Linked DNA regions of Mytilus edulis. Each later gene encodes a partner of the first gene's protein in a complex. Links are inferred from orthologs where the notes say so. Each region holds a gene or a part of one and is shown in the gene's direction. Other genes may lie near its edges. The genes, in order: peregrin-like and inhibitor of growth protein 4-like.

Evidence for each region.
Region 2: peregrin-like (region 1) and inhibitor of growth protein 4-like share a complex: the UniProt entries of both Drosophila melanogaster proteins name them as parts of the enok complex. The link is inferred for Mytilus edulis from reciprocal best matches to the Drosophila melanogaster genes Br140 and Ing5.

What each region holds. Positions count from the first base shown.
Region 1 is NC_092344.1:104,015,157-104,025,351, reverse strand, and holds the start of peregrin-like, read left to right. Parts: upstream 1-6,138; 5' UTR 6,139-6,227; intron 6,228-8,096; 5' UTR 8,097-8,125; coding exon 8,126-8,782; intron 8,783-9,543; coding exon 9,544-10,195. UniProt on the Drosophila melanogaster protein: Scaffold subunit of the histone acetyltransferase (HAT) Enok complex which has histone H3 acetyltransferase activity.
Region 2 is NC_092356.1:22,468,565-22,478,212, reverse strand, and holds the start of inhibitor of growth protein 4-like, read left to right. Parts: upstream 1-5,410; 5' UTR 5,411-5,462; coding exon 5,463-5,499; intron 5,500-7,565; coding exon 7,566-7,637; intron 7,638-9,648. Other genes in the region: uncharacterized protein, read right to left, coding at 2,685-3,893. UniProt on the Drosophila melanogaster protein: Component of the Enok complex which has a histone H3 acetyltransferase activity.

The sequences.
Region 1 (10,195 bases):
TTAGTTTTCTCGGTTGAATTGATGTACATTTGTCATTTCGGGGCCTTGTATAGCTGACTATGCGGTATGGGCTTTGCTCAATGTTGAAGGCCGTACGGTGACCTATATATTTTTGTTAATTTCTGTGTCTTATGGTCTCTTGTGGAGGTGGTCTCTTGTGGAGGGTTGTCTCATTAGCAATCATACCACGTCTTCTTTTTTATATCATATTAACTGCATGAAATCAAGCTCGCAGTACTTAATCTTCATGTACAGTTGTTTCCTAAAGCCTCGGTAACACCTTACCGGATAGCTCGAACGGACGCCTAACGGATAACTTTTTTTCAATCCGTTCATGTCCGTTAGACGTCCGTTCTTATCCGTTAGACGTCCGTCCATATCCGTTGCATGTCCGTTAAGCGTACGTTTTATCCGTCGGCGTCCGTTCTGTCCGGTGGAAAATTTTGAGCATGTTCAAAACTTTGAACGGACGTCCAACGGATAAAATGTCCGTTGAACGTCCGTTAGGCGTCCGTTTTGTACGGTACTCGTCCGTTTGGTGTCCGTTTTGTATCCGTTACGTGTCCGTTATACATCCATTGGAGGTCTGAAAGATAATTTCCCCAACGGACTTCTACCGGTTGTTTAACGGATAAAACGGATGTTCAACGAATGAGAAACGGACTTCTACCGGACGTATAACGGATCTGAAACGGATAAATGTCAATTGAAAATTTCGCGTCAGAAATGACAATTATCGGTATGTCAGATTTATTAAGGTTCATAAACTTTCATTATTCATAATCGGTCTTAAAGTAAGGGCACGTCTTCACAGTCAAGCTGCTCTTATCCAGGCCATACATTGTCCATTGGCGGCATTTTGAAGAACAAACCAAAACCATGTACACAGAAACATTTTGAATATTAATGCGATTTACATGTATTATTATTGTCGCCTTTAATTTTTCCGTATATCTTAATGGTCCGTTTTATCCGGTACGCTTCCGTTAGGTGTCCGTTTTATGCGGTACTCGTCCGTTGGATGTACGTTCGACATCCGTTCTGTCCGGTACGTTTCCGTTTCTCGTACGTTGCATATCCGGTGTGTGTCCGTTAGGCATTCATTACACGTCCGTTTTATTCGGTCAGTACATCAACGGACTCCCAACGGATAACAATTTTGTCAACGGACAACATTTATTTTCATCCGTTAGGCGTCCGTTCGTGTTATCCGGTAAGGTGTGACCGAGGCTTAATGATTTAATGTCGGTCACTCTACTTCTGATATTGATATAACAACACTCAAATTTTTGTGTAGAGTTGAATATTTGTTAAAAAATTTAATACCCATTACACTTCCCCCTCGTTAACACAAAGTGTGTCTGAAGAAAAGCACTGTTTAATCTTTCAGATATATTATTTCATTTTGGCCCTCATTAGGCGTTTATATGTTACTTGTAACGTCTACCAATTTATGATTTACAAAGAAAATTCGTCTTTAAACGAAAACGAAAAAGTCGATCTAAAATGACAATAAAATAAACCAACTCGAAAATACTTAGCTTTGGTTGACGAAGTCTGATAAAACAGTTGGCGTATATAGAAGAGGATTGCAGGAGTTTGGATTTACATCCATTTGTCCTGTTGGACCATTTAAAAAAGTATCGAAGAGAAAGATCTGATAATATGATTCTATATAGTGAAAGTTATAATATAAAAGCACCACTTAATCCGAGAAAGTACTTAGTCTTTTTTTTTAAATATACAAAATATTACTCCTGTCTAAACCAACTTTAAATTTGTATGATGAAACGGATTAGTAATGAAGAAAACTTTTAATAAAACAAAACCATAACAAAGCAAGAAATGAGATTTAATGATAATTGTCTTAATGTTAAGTATCTAGTTGTAATGTCACTTTGGAACTTTAAAATAGGTCTTGTGATATGTGTTTAATACTGTCTTCATATTTTTTTTAAATGTATCACAGTAAAAGGGAGATAACCACTTTATTTTCGTGTTACGAACTATCGAGACATATGTTTTTCTGCATTTTTTACCAACATTATTAATCAAAACGATTTGTTTGAATAACACACAGGGTCATGAATGCTGATTTTTCCGCTTCTGATTTCCAATAGAAATTAAGCATCATCGACTAATTTGTCACCTAACTAACTTGTGACAAATCCGAAGAAAATATACCTCTCTGCAATCGCGAATGTACCCCTTGTTAGTAAGTTCAAATTGTTACACGTTCTTACAAGTAAATAACATAGAATTCATATTCTATTTGAAGTTTTGTTTGCTCAGGTTTGCAGTATTTTTTCATTTCCTTTTCATCATTTATGATCAATGACCTTCAGATGTTTAACAGTTACTGATTGTCCAGTGGTTAATATTTCACGCACATATCTAGGCCGGCGACTTCAAATTATAGAGAAGTCCAATTAATGGTTTGACGAGCCGGATACTTTGACTTTAATGTCATATCAAAAAGGGTTTTAATTGGATTGTTTGATATAAGAGCAGACATAGTTTTCTTTTCGTTCAGTGGCAAATATATCATGTATGTTCATTTCGAGGTACACCAGTTAATTTTAATTATACATAGATGACCCTGAATACCCCCTCCCTCATAGAGTGATAAACAAAGCAACTAGGAGAGTACGATGATGCAAATCAAAATCAGAGGAGGTCTTTTCTGTTTACGGAAATATAAAATCGTTGTATTGTGATGACGTCAACAAGGATTTATGTCTATTTGCTGTGTAACGAGTAAAATGTAATAACAGGTATATCGCATATCATATTTAAGTTTGAAATGAGATCATTGATCCATATTTGATGTAATTGGGTATATCACGACAGTCTCTTCTCACATCCTTCACTCGTTAATGTGGTAATCAGCAGAATTTAGAGTGCTCTCCAAACGTGTTTATGGTTAGATGATCTCAAATGAAAAATAAGATAATAAAAAACTTCCAAACTTAGATGAAATGTCTCACTGTTTATTAATGAGAAGTGTGGTTACTTTTGACAGATGTGGGTACAAAATCTGCATTCATAATAACCCGAGAATGGAAGAAAACCAAATTCTTAAAAAATACAAGTGGTACACGATTAAAGTCACAAATTCATATATCAATTTACTTGTTAAGAGTTGATAGAAAATTAAAAAAATATCTACGGAAGCGTATCACTATCCATGTTGAAATCCCGCGTCGTTCAAACTATAATTCAATTGCCAATGGTGACAAGCATGTTGTCTGCTCTTTGGTTGGGTTGTTGTCTTTGATAAATTCCCCATTTCCATTCTCAATTTTGGAATTATAACAAGTCTTTGTTTACACACCAAAACGTCCGGTGGCAAATATTACACGAATGTTAGATCGACTCCAAATCGAACAGTATTTGCTTGTATTTCTACTTAATGCCACATTAAAGTTAATTTGAATCGATAGGGTATTGAATCCACGATCGACATCTCGCACTCTAGACTATCACAGTTACTTTGTCAGAACACATGAATTACTCTTGTTGTCTTATCTGTTTTTCTTTGTTTTTGATTACTTTTTACGTTGGTGTCCCTGTTACACAATAACTTGACTCACAATATTATGGAATGTTAGCTATGATTTTTTTTAATAAGATATCATTTGGGACAACTTTATGTATATACGTTCAAATATATGACAACTTTACGACAGACATGCTTCTCCATCGGATAACTCGTGGAATACCATAATTTATATATAATTCGTCTCGACTGTGACCAAAAATGTTTCACATCCAAACTTGCGTTAGTAGCAATTTATGTTCTTCTCTCGTGTTGCTCAGTTTTTAGTTTTCTATTTTGTGTTTTATGTACTATTTTTTGTCTGTTTATCTTTGCTTTTTTTAGTCATGTCGTTATCAGTATATTTCCCACTTTTGCGTTTGAATATCCTTTTGGTTTCCGTTTCACCACTCTTTGGCAGCATACTCGTTTCGTTTGATGCATGAAAGTGGTTTAAATGACGATCGCATTCCAAGAGAACAAACACTAACACACGGGCATCTTCTTAAGTGATGCATGTGTCCTATTATTTTTATGTGAGACAGAATTCATAAATGTTTTTTTTCTTCATGAGAATGAAAAAAAAAGCTATTGCAGGTATATCCTTTAACTTCACTTTTCGTATATATGGATGATGTTTTCTCACTAGTAATCCGTCCAACCGAACTTGAAACAAAGCATTCCACACACGTAGTTAGGTCCACATCATCTATTGACTAGCATCGAGAAAATGTCATGTCAGTAACGGTCAGTTGCGAACTAAATTGCACGACAAAGAGATAACTAGTATTTCAATTTATCCTTTGTCATTTTCATTTCCCAATTTCATGAATCTATATCAATATCTCCATGTTGATACATTATTCCAGGGCGTTAGTTTCTTGGTTGAACCAGAAACTGCTTAGAATTCAAGAGCATCTTAGTGCAACTGCGGTGTTTGGTGGGGTTTGTGTTGCTCAATCTTTGTTTTCCGTGTTGTGTTGTGTTTTGTAGACTTTAGATTTCTGTTCGGACCTTTCATTTTAGCCATAAGCTTTTATGTCTTTTTTCGATTTCTATTTACAGCCGATTTCATTGAGTGTGTAGACAAGGCTATATCTGTGGTTAACTTGTTTGTTAGCTGAACTGTGAAGTCATTATATTATGTCAGGTATACTACCTCTAACTTACGCACTAAGAGATTCATATTGCCATATGAGTTTATAAAGCTGCAGTCCCAAACAGAAGCTGAAGATCATGTGTACATTTTATTTTGATTATGTGTTCCTATGCAAACCAATCTACAATTTCAAGACACCAACACTTAATTGTTGTAAAATTATCTATACAGCAATATCAGCTGACATCTGAACTATATAAACCTCGAAAGGCAAGGTGCTAGTAGTTGTGACATAAAGAGATATATATAGAAGCACCACAAAAAAAATCCCCCAAAAAACCCTTGTTTTGCACATCGTTAATGTGTCTAAGCCAATTGTACATGCTTTCAATAATGTGAAATGAAACAGGTTAACTAAAGAATTACTTTCACACTCCATAACACCAGCCCTGCCAAACTTGGCGGCTCAGACGATGGAAATGTGAAGCCGGCGTTGACAGATAGACGGACGGACCGACCGACGGACGCAAAGTGAGACGAGACAGATCACAATAGCCCCATAACCAAAGATAGTATTAGATTTTGCAAACGAAAATTTCCAATTTAAATTGTCCTTATATTATATCTGGGTTTTTTTTGTTATTATTTTCGGAGGTCGTGTCACACTTTATATATACTGTATTCGCTAAAACTAGAATGTGAAGCATAATTTACGAAGTTATGTTTATTTTCTTGGGATCCCATGCATGTACGTAATACGGTACATATATATAATAATTCTGCAAAAATTTTAGGTTGCAAATGAGAAATGTATATAGACATAGACCGGAGATTAAAATTAATAAACTAACTGTTCGCTTGAAACAGTGTTCTATCTTTCATTTAGGATATTAAGAAAGAATCTAACTTGGACTGTTTTCTTGGCCGTGCCATGATAAAATTGTGAAAGTGAGTAAGGGATGGCAGTTTGGAAGTTCGATTATCAAAGAAAATCAAATTGATTATAAAAACCGCAAATACAATGTTACAATTGTTTTACTTTAACTGCTAAAAACGGCCTATAATATGTGTCTTCAAACGAAGGACTGCGTTTGACACCTTCCTTTGAAGTGTATAATATGACCCCTAATATGGACTTCTGATAATATTTATAGAAACTTTAAAATCAAAGTCGTAGGTCAGTTGATCCTAAATCTACCCCTGAATACATGGATTAATGATGTCCATGGTCACATGATCAGTGCCGGCCGGGTCTCATACATAGATAAAATCATATACATATAATGAGAAGGGGATATGGGGTCCACTAATTAACATGTTAACAACACCTCGATTTTGGCAAAAACAGTTACCCCCCCCCCCCCCCCCCCCCCTTTTCCAAAAAACAATAATTTGTATATTACTGTAATATACATGTATATACGATGATATTAAAGAATCGTTGCAATCATTGTGATTCTTATGATCTATGATTTTTTTTTATAAAATTCCCGCTTTAAACTTTTAGGAAATATGAAAAACGGAAATGGGCTGCGCAACATCATATGCGCATATGCTTGCTTGGCCAAACGAAGAGGACGCACTGTTGAGGTTTGTTATTTCACTTATTTTCACATAGCATACACAATGATACCAACGCAGACATAAATGTTCTGGTTGAAAATGAACAAAGGAAACAATTCGTATCAGTTTTATATTGTAAATTTTCAGTAATTCATCGAAATTTAATCAATTCACCGATTTCATTGTCTGCCCACAATCGATCCATGAGCTGCGGCGTCGGTGTCGATTTGACTTGTTGTAACAGGCTGTTGTTGGCTGCATATCAGATAATGTATAATGTTAATATAGACGTAATTTATTCTCATCGTTGTGAATTATGAGGTAGATATCGCAAAACTGCTTACAATTTGGTTTTAAGTTGTAGTCCCGAAACCGGAAACTGGTTCAACTTTTTTGTTTACATCTGTAAAAAGAAGGACGTAGTCAAATTTCTTATGATATTGATGACTTCATTTATAACCTTATCTTTTCCCCTCTTTTTTGCAAGTTAAGAAGCTTGACTATGAGTTTCAAAAATTACTTCTGTTCATATACATTGTATATGACATATAAATATAAAACATTTAAATGGCAATGTTAATAATAATAAATAAATAATAATAAATAAGCTTTATTTAGAGTCGGCATGGTATATAAAACATAGACAAACATAAGCTCTAATGAGCTTTTAACCGACATGGACAAATCATAACAAATTTAAATTTGGTACAAATGATGGACACGATGAAATAGTTTTGCTGGGTGAATCTGAGTTGTTCACATTAGTTATTTAACAATCATTGGTTTTTAACAATAATATGATATGTTAACTTTTTCATTTAGATTTGGTATGGAAAAATGAATAAAAATAGAAATCCTTGAGTGTCAATGAGTTACGATGCAGTCCATACACCGTATAGCTTTTGTCTGCCATTACTGGACATCACACAACTTCCCCGTAATATAATGTTATTAAAATTTGCTGTTACAAAATGATAGAAATTATTATAAATTAAGGAATGTATCTCCCTCATGCAAAGCTCTGATTCCTTTCACGGATTTGGCTATACTTTTTGGACCTTTTGGATTATAGCTCTTCATCTTTTATATAAGCTTTGGATTTCAAATATTTTGGCCACGAGCATCACTGAAGAGACATGTATTGTCGAAATGCGCATCTGGTGCAAGAAAATTGATACCGTTAATTTTATTTGATGTCTTAAAATAGAAAATATTTGATGTCACAATGAAAAAGTGATTGTTGTATGATAACTGATGTCAAAAGTTTTAGTGGAACAGATTTTCAAATTTGGAAAAAGCCTTCATGAATCAGTTCTTTTTTGGTTAAAATTTTCTTGCTTTCCTATTGAAAAAAAGGTGACCATGTCTGACAATGTTACACAAAAAGAACACATCTTTTTGCAGGTCTTTCAAAAAGAAGGATTAATATTGTCTGCATAAGAGAAAGATATTACAACACCAAAACTCATGCAATACAATATTTATCAACTCTCAACAGTTAAAATTTTAGATGCACAACAAGCCTCACGTTTTGCATTTGAAATTTAAATGTTGTAAGTGGATAAATAATTGTATCACACTTCTTGATACAGTGGTAGAATCTACAATGTATATTTACTGTGACACAAAGTATTACAATGTATACTTAAGGACCCTGCTAAACCATTTTCCTGCTTCATTGATAAAACAAAACATTTAGCTATATAACAATGTAGGCTTTAGAATAACTGTATCTGGATTGTAAAATAAATGATTAAAACACTTTTCACAGAGTGAAATTTCAGCCAGACTTGAGCAAATATTTGACAAACTCTGAAATAACTGTAATCTAGTAATTGGCATGCACAGAAGATTTTTATAATTACCATACATAATTGTATATTTTCTTTATTTTAGACTTGAAATGGTGTAGGAATTTCATCAGAATGGTGTATGATTTTGATGTCAGAGATTTTTGTCAAAACTTGAAGGCCACTAAACCACCTTATGAATGTCCGGTTAAAGACTGTGGTAAAGTGTATAAAAGTTATTGTGGTATTCAGTTTCATCTTTATAATTATGATCATGATAACCCAGAGAATAACAGTCCTACTCCAACTGGTAAAAAACCTGGTAAGAAGAAGGGAAGATGGGGCCATCACAGATCAATGCGTAGATCTCCCACTCCACCAGAATTTGTTAAACCAGCTCCAAGACTGGAGACTCTAACCTATGCTGAATCACAAAGACTGGTGGAAATTGATGTTGATGGTAGGATTCATAGGATAAATATATATGAGCCTTTGGAAATTATATCTCAAGATCAGATCGATAACCAGAGTAATAAAGAAAAGGAAGAGAAAGCAGAGAAAGTCCCCAAAGTAACTAAGCAGCATACAGATAAGAACAAAACTAAAAACAAAGAAACACCAGCACCTGCTGATAGAAACAATGACGGTAAATTACCAGAGGCACAGTTTAAGATTGTAGACAATTATATCAAGCCAACTAATCCTAAACCAAGGCCAAACTCATATTATCGTTATATTGAAAAATCTACAGATGAGTTGGATGATGAAGTGGAGTATGATATGGATGAAGAGGTGAGTAAACTTTCTAGACAAGAAAATTTACTATCTGAGGTCATTAACAATTTATAAGAGATATTGCAATAACAAAGATGTACATATGATTTTGATGAAATAGTATCTTAGAATAAAGAATTATGCATCTATATCTGCTATCTACATGTATATTTATCATCTTTCCCTAATTTGTACCTACAATGTATAATTGTCTACCTTATATTTTACTTTTACTCAGGTTCTACAAAAGAAGGTGTGGTATGATTGCCAATGAAACAACTCTTCACAAGAGACCAAATGACACAGAAATTAACATATTATGTCACCGTACAGCCTTCAACAATGAGCAAAGCCCATGCCACATAGTCAGCTTTAAAAGGCCCCAAAATGTAAAACAATTCAAACAAATGGCCTAATTTATGTAAAAATAATGAAAGTAAACAAATATGTAACATAGCAACAAACAACAACCACTGAATTACAGGCTCCTGAGTCCTGAACTATATACGCTACATATATGCAGTTTGAGCTCATGTACATGTACATATGTAGCTTTATCTTGCTATATATATTCATGATCAATATTAGCTCAATCAAGCTACAAAATGTATTAAAAAATTGTCTCCCATTGAAAATTTTGAATAAAATTTCAGTTTGTCACTTACATGTACATGTAGTTATCAAGTTATATTGGCCCATTCATTCAACCCATGTAAATTTTATTGAAAAATTGCTGTAAAGTAAACATCAATGCTTAGGATATTTTATATTTTTTTCAGGATCATGCATGGTTGGAACTGTTGAACAAAAAGAGAGAAACAGATGGACTTACTCTGGTAAATCAAGCAGATTTTGAACTTTTAATGGACAGATTTGAAAAAGAAGCATTTTTCCAAAGTCAGTCCTCCGGAAAGGATATTGGTCCTCCTATTGATGAAGATGCTGTTTGTAGTATTTGTATGGATGGTGAATGTCAAAATAGTAATGTGATTTTATTTTGTGACATGTGTAACTTGGCTGTGCACCAGGAATGTTATGGTGTTCCATATATTCCTGAAGGACAATGGTTGTGTAGGCGGTGTCTTCAGTCTCCCTCTCGAGCAGTTGATTGTTGTCTATGTCCAAATAAGGGCGGTGCTTTCAAACAAACTGATGATGGAAAATGGGCTCATGTGGTATGTGCATTATGGATACCTGAAGTAGGGTTTGCAAACACAGTGTTTTTAGAGCCCATAGATAGTATGGAGAGAATTCCTCCTGCACGATGGCGGTTATCATGTTATATTTGTAAACAGAGAGGGACTGGGGCATGCATTCAGTGCCACAAAACAAACTGTTATACTGCATTTCATGTGACTTGTGCTCAGCAGGCAGGCCTTTATATGAAAATAGAACCTGTAAAAGAGCCTAGTGGTTTAACTGTGACTGTTC
Region 2 (9,648 bases), on another chromosome or scaffold:
ACATAAATTTTTGCTTTCATGCCTTTTACAGTTCCAAGTTCATCTTTGAAAACCTCCTTATTTGCTTCCAAGATCACATTTAAATCCCTCGATTGATTGTCACTTCCAACGACGGAGAAAATATCCTTCCAATCCAGTTGGAGTTTGTTCAACCAGTCTCACGGGTGTCATTCGGTTTATCGAGAGAAATGATCGTGAAAGAATATCTGACGGCGGTCAAGTATTGAGAGACGATCGTGAAAGTTCTGGTAACGGATCGTGAAAGACATTTAATCGAGAAGACATATGAAACGTTAGTAAATATTCTAATTTATTTAATTACACAGACACATTTGCGACAAAATAAAACTGTCTGTCAAAATGGTTCAACATTATGATCAGTATGTCAGAATATCCAGTTTCAAAAGTACATAGTTATTACAAAACGACAAAAGGCATATTGCTTCTCGACATTTCAATGACATAAAAAATGTAAACAAACACGATTTTTTCACAAATTCGACTAGATAAACTACGTTTATCAGAATAAGGGTATTGTATTTAAATTAATTAAACGGTTCTCATAGTTATTTTGTATAAATATAATCTGAAACTTGGTAAATAAAGAACTATTTACACAAAATTGATTTTTTGGATCGTGAAAGATCACGTACCGCATTTTTGAAGATCGTGAAAAGGATCGTGAAAGATCTGATGCTACGAAGACGTTCAAATTATTCTTCCATTATATGATAATTGATATTTGTTATTGGTATTGAGAAAGGCTAGATAGGTCAACACCTTCAATATAAAAAATATTTGTTAAGCCAAACAAGTAGAAAGTTGAAGAGCATGGAGGATCAAAAATTCCAAAAAGTTACATACCAAATACGACTATGGTAATCCTTAGTTTTTCGAAAAATTCAAACGCAATGGCATCGCCCCAGTGGTATAAATAGTTATCAAAAGGTACTAGGATTATAATTTAGTACGCCAGACGCGCAAATACACTAAAATTATTATTTGGGCATTTGTGAATATGTTGTTTGTAAAATAGTTGGATGATTGTAGGATGAAGTTTTTTTTATTGTCATGTGAAGTACTCACTTATCATGAGTTATAGGATACCCATATTTTGTATATTGGATCCTATAAACTTAATGTCCGTCAGACAGGATTCACCTGACCCTGAATTTGCCTCATTTCATGGATGAAGATTCATTTTAGTGGTCATGTCCGTATCGAGGATTCGTTAAGCTTTAGGATAACTGTCTGTTGTTATGATTGTAAGGTGTATATTTTCGACTTGTGCAAGGTTTCAACTAACATTGAACTCATTATCCTGCATCATTCGGCAATGTTTGTCTTAATATATGTTGTTGGGCTTTTTGAATGTATACCTGTATGCTATAGCGACAAGGTGTGTCGTGTATGGTGTACATGTCTGTGTGCATGTTTCTTATATGACCATGATGACTTCAATTGTGTTTGATTTATTAAATGATAGTAAGATGTCTATGTCTGGCTGACGGTCAGGGTTCATATACTTTTGACCTTATGTTCCGAATTAATTGGCCAAGCATAACTTTTACATTTGTCAGTTTTTAAGGCACTGTAAGGAGCGGAAACACATTTATTTGGCGTACGGGATATTTGTAGAGATCTGTATGGCATGGTTCATTTGACCTTGACCTTTTTTATGAAATATTGACAATCTTAAGCGCATTTGACACTTCTAGTAAAACCCTTGATATTATAGACGTTCAACAAATATACTATCATAAGTAAAGCAAACAAGACATTACAGCATTTGCGCTTTGGTATTCTATAGTATGTACTATATAGTTAAATCAATCCTTATCTGCGTTGTTTATAAAAGTTCTGTTGCGCAAAATGTTGGTTATCGTTCAATCCAAAATTACACATGAAATGTGCTGTTTTTGCTATGATTTTTTGTTTGATGGATAACATTTTGGTTTAAACGTTGCATATCCATATTATTGGCTAACTAGTGTCGGTCTGCCTGAAGTGCACTAGACCGATTCACAGAGCTGAATCTTTCACACTTATTAAGACACGTTATTAGTTTTGGTTTTTTTTTAACTTTCGAGGTAAAGTGTTGAATAGAAAAAAAGATAATAGCTTTAATATTCATCCTTATCAAAATAGTTACAGGCTTCAACCACTTGCAGATTTATCAAATGGTAAAAGAAATACTGATTTCTGATTACTAGTATTAAGTCTGGTCACGCATTTTCTTTCACGATCGAAATAATACGTTGCCTGATCTTTCACGATCAAGTTTGATGGAAATTCAACAAATTCAAGGTTTTCATAAACAAATTAACGCTTTTAATGGAAGAACATACTTTAATTTTACTGTACTATCAGATACACCAAAGATTAAATTTCAAATATATCATGATATTCTGAAATATGACCATTATAGGTACAAAAAGCGTTTTATTTGTAATTAATTTCATAGACACGCATTGCGCCTTTTGTGTTTTTTCAAAAAGTACTTCATATTTTCTTTATCTTCTTTCACAGTTATGTTGAGGAAGTTAAACCATTTTGACAGAAATATTTTTTTGTTCGGATTTGTTCCGCTTTTTGAAAATTAAGCGATTTTTTCAAAGATTCTGAACTAGAATGTACATTAAATGTCTTTCACGATCCGTTACCAAAACTTTCACGATCGTCTCTCAATACTTGACCGCCGTTAGATATTCTTTCACGATCATTTCTCTCGATAAACCGAATGACACCCGTGAGTCTCGGCCTAGTAAATTCGGACCTTTACGCTTCACTATCAGTAATGGTAATTTTGCACTTTCCTTCTTGTAGTTGACATTGACGATTGCACGTCCTATTATAGGAATCTGCTCTCCCATGTATGTTCGGAGTTTAGCACTTGTCGGTTCGATTTTGAATTTCGACTTGTATTCCTTGTAAGTATCCTCGCTCATGATAGAAACGGACGCTCCGGTATCTATTTCCATGGCTATTTCACATTCATTTACATTGATTTGCACTTTATATGCCTCATTAGTTTTATTTCCAAAATGAAAAACTGAGTAAACTTCATTTTCACTTTCACTTTCGCTACTTTCATCCTGCTCCATGAAATGAGCACGTGGTTTGAAACGTGATTTAAACTCTCTGTGGTTTTCACTTAAATTCCCATTGGTAGATTTGTTACGGCATTTCTTTGCGATATGTCCTTTCTTTTTACAGCTGTGGCATTTTGCATCCTTAAACCTGCATTCAGCGGCTAAGTGATTTCCTCCACACCGGTAACAATCTCCTTGTTTCGAATTTCCAGAGTTGTTTCTTGTATATGATTTTGAAACTTTATTGATTTGTTTCTGAAATGTTCCATTTGTCCCACTCGCTTGGATGTCCTGTGCATTCTTCTCTGCAGTCTCCATAGCGGTAGCAATTTCCAATGCCTTATCAAATGTTAAATTCGGCTCTGCTAGCAGCCTCCTCTGTATGCGGTCACTCTTTATCCCGACGACTAACCTGTCACGTAACATCGCATTCAACGTGTCACCATAATTACAGTGTTCTGTCAGACTTCGTAGTGCTGCAATAAATGTCCTAACTGACTCATCACTGTGTCTTGTTCTACTGTTAAATTTAAATCTCTGAATGATTTCTGATGGTACTGGATCTCGGTGGTCTTTCACTAGTTTTGTTAAATCGGCCAATGATTTCGTTCCTGGTTTGGCTGGTGCTAATAAATCCCTTATTAATTTGTAGATATTCTTCCCACATACACTTAAGAAAATATCCCTTTTCTGGTCTTCTTCGTCTATCTCATTAGCATTAAAATAATGTTCCATACGTTCTACATATTGTGTCCAATCTTCGGATTCATCAAAAGAGTCTAATTTCCCGTAAGTCGGCATTGTCACTTGTAGAAATTCACATTTATTTTAATATCCAGTTTTTTCCTCGTCGCCAAAATGTGTAATATCTTTGATAGGTAATAATACAATCCAGTTTCTATAACTAATTTATTAACAAGTACATCGTTTGATGGTCAGACTACAGAATGACAACATGTGTATAAGAACTTCAATTGATCTATTTAATTACATGTTTATTTAAGAATGGGCAGACATGTGAGAGTTGCTGATTTGTCAATTATAATTACTGTAACAGATGATACGGTAATAAAGTGAGGTGAACTTTATAACAATTTTTAAAATATATTTATTTTTCTTCTAAAATATTTATAAAAATGTTGATTTTCAAATCTGTGTAAAATCAATGTTTAAATATCCTGCCAGTGATGAAAATAGTGTTAAGCAAAACTACATCATAAAACAGACACGACGGACACTATTAATAGTTGTTTGCTATGAATTTCAAATGGACACATGACTTTAACATTTGCAATTGTTACAAAACCAATTCTTTGCCTTTGGAAGTTGTTTTAGTCTAGCACAAGATAAATGTTGCCACTCCAAACAGGAACTACACATTACACTGGCTTCCTCTGAATCTTCATCATGTGTGTATATGTTACATATATGTCTGACAGGGGCAGATCCAGCCATTTTGAAAAGGGGGGTTCCTAACCCAGGACAAAAGGGGGGGGGGAGTTCCAATTACATGTCCCCATTCAAATGCATTGATCGTCCAAAAAAAAGGGGGGTTCCAACCCCCGGAACCCCCCCCCCCCCTTCTGGATCCGCGCCTGTATGTAGATAGTGAGGTAGATAGGGTTCTTTGAATGACTCGATCGATACTCTGTGTAACCCACCTCATCATTGCTCATCGTAACTCCTAAATTAAAAAATAACGGTGGCAATATCTTTTGCATAATAAGTCCGTTCACAGTTCAGAGTTCAAGTTCAAATTCTGTTTCATATCTATACCCTTTCAAACATCAATACTATATGCATAATATAGTAAAAAAAGGGGGATATCATGTTTAGAAATTGGGTCATGAATTGTTACGCGTATATACACTGAGTAGTCCAGTTGAGAAGGGTAATGATGAAGTTTGTTCGAGGCTGTCAATAATACGGAATTATATACCTTCGTAACATCAAAGTTCAAATTGCATACTATTCGATTTCCTTTCCACAATTTCACAATGTCCATGGGATTTTATATGCATGATGGTTTTTTTATGATATTGATATTCCCATGAGTCTTAGATGGGCCTTTAAATTTATTTTTTGTCGAAAAAAATGCTTTCTGTCAAAATTTCTAGTTTCGTTCGTCTATCTCTGAGTTGGGATATATCGCATTTTCCTCTCTATTCTGTAAAACTCCACCAGACCCTCATGCATTTTGTCTAGCTACGTAATTCCCAAAATAACTAATCTGACATTTATAACCTTTAACCTTTAATATATAAACTGATTCAGAGAAATGTTTTAAAGCAAAACAAATAGCAAACCGGAAATATGCTCATCATTGACACAGATTGTCACGTGATTCAATTAAACCCAAAAACCTCCAAAATGGCAACTGCGATGTATCTCGAACACTATTTAGATAGTGAGTTTAAGTTACAGATATATATGACAAATTATATGAGTAAAATGACCTTCCTCAGCAATCTCCCCATTCATATTTATATGATCAGGTGGCATATAGTGTAGATACAAACGATGTCTCTTGAAGGAATGAGCGGCTCAGCTCGAAATATTTTTTTGGCGCAATTTTATAAATTTTCAAATGAATGTTTACACAAGTCAGAGGCAGTACTTAGTCACGGTAGTTGGTAATCTTAACTTGATAGCATTATCTTAACATGAAATAGATATTCCCATCTTGCTAACAAAGTCATCACTCTTGCTTGCTACATTTCCTGTTTCTAATATTGAAAGTGAAACTTCTACTGACTGAAATTGCCTAATTGGTATGGAACCCGGAGAGCATGATTCATCTTGCAAAATTGCATGTATCCACAGAGACTTGAACCCTGGACCACTGTGTTACAAAGCACCACGTTAACTGACTGAGCAGGGGTTTCATTATTTTTCATGTTGACTGGTACTTTCCACATTTCTAGGTGGTACTTTTCAATTTATTCCATGAATTTCTTATATAAAAATTCCTACATTTAGGCGGTACTTGTCAATAGCATAGGAGGGTAAAAGTACCGGGTACCGCCTCCTAATGAATGGCCTGACTGAGCTAAAGAAGTACATTTTTGTGTACTTCCTTACCTCAACTGCTTACTGTATGTCAAACATAAGTGTGGGTTTGTTGTGTGGCGGTTCTATCCTGACTCTGGGCGCTGGAAATTTTAGAACTTCACAAGGGTAACTCTCAGGCCAAATAAAAATATATGTGTGGTTCCAGTAACCCGACCGACCCTAGTTAAAACCGACCCTAGAACTTTTTTTTCATTTCTCAAAAATAAATTTTCAAACGATCAAATTTTGAGGATTATGAATTAAAATAATTAAATTCATAGATTTCTGTCATCTGAATTTCCATCACAAGTATCTGTTATGGCTAAAATGCAAGAATTCATAACAGAATGCAACAAAATTAACTAAAAACGTATCATGGCTGTTTATTTTACAACCACACACATGTAAAAATGTCGGACTTCTGGTTGGGGCGTGTATAATAAGGGAAACAATTTCGGTAAACACACGATTCTTTTCCGGATTTTGACATTAAAAAAAAAAAAGAAAAAAAAAATTGCTGACCTACCGACCCTATTTTTTAAAAGTATGTAACTGGAACCACACATATATTTTTATTTGGCCTCACCCTCCCGCACAATTCTCTGGTACCCAGATTGGAGTTTAAACAAGAATAGGTTTATTGGGGGCTTTGGTTGGTCAATGTTGCCCCTTACTTTGACCTAAGGATCCATCTTAAATTCTTTTGACATCTCTCAGGTTTGTCTGTTTCAGCCAAGCATCCCGATGGGATATCTCCTAGTACTTCAGCTTGCTCCACCATGATAACAGACTCTTAGTGATCTAGCACACCCCATGTGTAGGGGTGGGGATTGTCCTTGTAAACAATTGTAAATATAGGTTAGTCAGTCTTCACGCTGAGTGGCAGTCCAGGCTAGTAAAATTGCTCTTGGGCCTGTAAAAATCATATCTACAGGCTAACAGAAACTAACTAAAAAAATTCAAAAATTGAGCTCCGGGCCTGTAGTTTAAAAGTTCGTCGTGAAGACTGGTTAGTGACACATCTCCATTGATCCCAATAAGGAGTGTATTGGATTCAACTGTCTGTACCCTTTAACTCTTGTGGGGTTCTTCGGTAAAAGGAGGAATTTTATCAGTACTTGCAAACATTGTATTATCTATCGGGGATTTTTTAAGGGCTTGCTGTGTCCAGATCTGTAGTATGCAAGAGTGCATGTAAAATCTATAACATGACAATACTTATGCCAGTGAGGTTTTGACTTTTACAATGAGCTAAAACCACACTGCATAGTTAACTATTACATAGAAAGTACCTGAAATATCAAACGTAAAAACAATCCCAACAACAATAACTAATTGCCTGATTTATGAACTAAACAATAACAGAAAACAACTGAATTACATTCATTTGTGTATAACATTCATATTTTTTTTCTTTTATAGGTTTGGAGACTTTACCGAGTGAACTCCAAAGAAACTTTAATTTAATGAGAGACTTGGATCAAAGGGCACAAGGTAAAATGGAATATCTGATCTTTATTATAAGAGCTAGAACACACTCAGGGTCTTGATTGAATCAATGTACTTGTACCTTAATGCCTTATTTTAAAGTATTTGTATTTTCATCTGATAAAAGTCATACTGATTACATACTCGATAAGGTTTTTTCAAGGCGAGTCCAGGGACTCATCATTTTTGGCCATGATGAGTCCAAAAGCAAGAAGAAAATATTTTATTGAAATATATATAACTTTTGCTATAAAATGATGATATTTTTGTTAAACTGTGTTCAGTTTAGTATACAAAATATTTCAATTTTGATGCATATGTGGACTCACCAGTTTTGAAAATGGTGAGTCCAGACAGATTTTTAGGAGTGTTTACTTGGCTTTCTAAATCTTTCTGTTTGAACCTACAATATAGCCTTGAAACTACTTAGGCCCTTGTGAAAATTATTAAGCCTCGGCAGGCAGGAAAAACTTTGTATTTTATTTTATTTTTTTGTGAAAAATCAGTTTCGTTCTACAGAGAATTTTGTTGTTAACCTGTAATTAATGTTTGTTTCACATTGTATATTGTGGTATAATCTACATGTATGTGAAACTGAAGGAATGAGCCATGTTGAAACACTTTTAAGAGATTATCAGACATTTTTAAAAAGCATCAATGATAATTGTCAACAACTCATCTGCAAAAAAAAAGAAAAAAAGAATTGACACGGAGGGTTAAAACAGATCGGCAGGGTTGGGGGAAACATACAATCCTTTTTGCATGGCCTTATGACATATTCTTTTGGTATCAGTATTGGATTCAACCCGGAACTTGTTGATTATTGGTAATATTAATTATTCAGAAGACAAAAGGTTCTGAAATGGTGTAATTTTTAATCCACACCGGGTACCTTTGTCCTATAATAGTTAACCATGAAGTTGAATTCTTTGATTCATCAATTTTTATACGACCGCAAAAATTTTAATTTTTCGTCATATATTGCTATCACGTTGGCGTCGTCGTCGTGCGAATACTTTTAGTTTTCGCACTCTAACTTTAGTTTAAGTGAATAGAAATCTATGAAATTTTAACACAAGGTTTATAACCACAAAAAGAAGGTTGGGATTGATTGTGGGAGTTTTGGTCCCAAAATTTTAGGAATTAGGGGCCAAAAAGGGCCCAAATAAGCATTTTCTTGGTATTCGCACTATAACTTTAGTTTAAGTAAATAGAAATCTATGAAATTTTTACACAAGGTTTATGACCACAAAAGGAAGGTTGGGATTGATTTTAGGAGTTTTAGTTCAAACAGTTTAGGAATTAGGGGCCAAAAAAGGGCCCTAATAAGCATTATTCTTGGTTTTCGCACAATAACTTCAGTATAAGTAAATAGAAATCAATGAAATTTAAACACAAGGTTTATGACCACAAAAGGAAGGTTGGGATTGATTTTGGGAGTTAAGGTCTGAACAGTTTAGGAATTAGGGGCCAAAAAGGGGCCCAAGTAAGCATTATTCTTGGTTTTCGCACCATAACTTTAGTATAAGTAAATAGAAATCTTTGAAATTTAAACACAAGGTTTATGACCTTAAAAGGAAGGTTGGGTTTGATTTTGGGAGTTTTGGTCCCAACAGGTTTTTAGGAATAAGGGCCCCAAAGGGTTCAAAATTGAACTTTGTTTGATTTCATTAAAAATTGAATAATTGAGATTCTTTGATATGCTGGATCTAACTGTGTATGTAGATTCTTAATTTTTGGTCTGGTTTTCCAATTGGTCTACATTAAGGTCCAAAGGGTCCAAAATTAAACTTAGTTTGATTTTAACAAAAATTGAATCCTTGGGGTTCTTTGATATGCTGAATCTAAAAATGTACTTATATTTTCAATTGTACAGTATTGCGCAATAGCAAGCGATATCTAATTGCACAATATTGTGCAATAGCAAGAAATTTTCAATTGATTGGAGTTATCTTTCTTTGTCCAGAATAGTAGTTGAATCAACTTAAATCATTGTTTTATACAATACACAATGTAT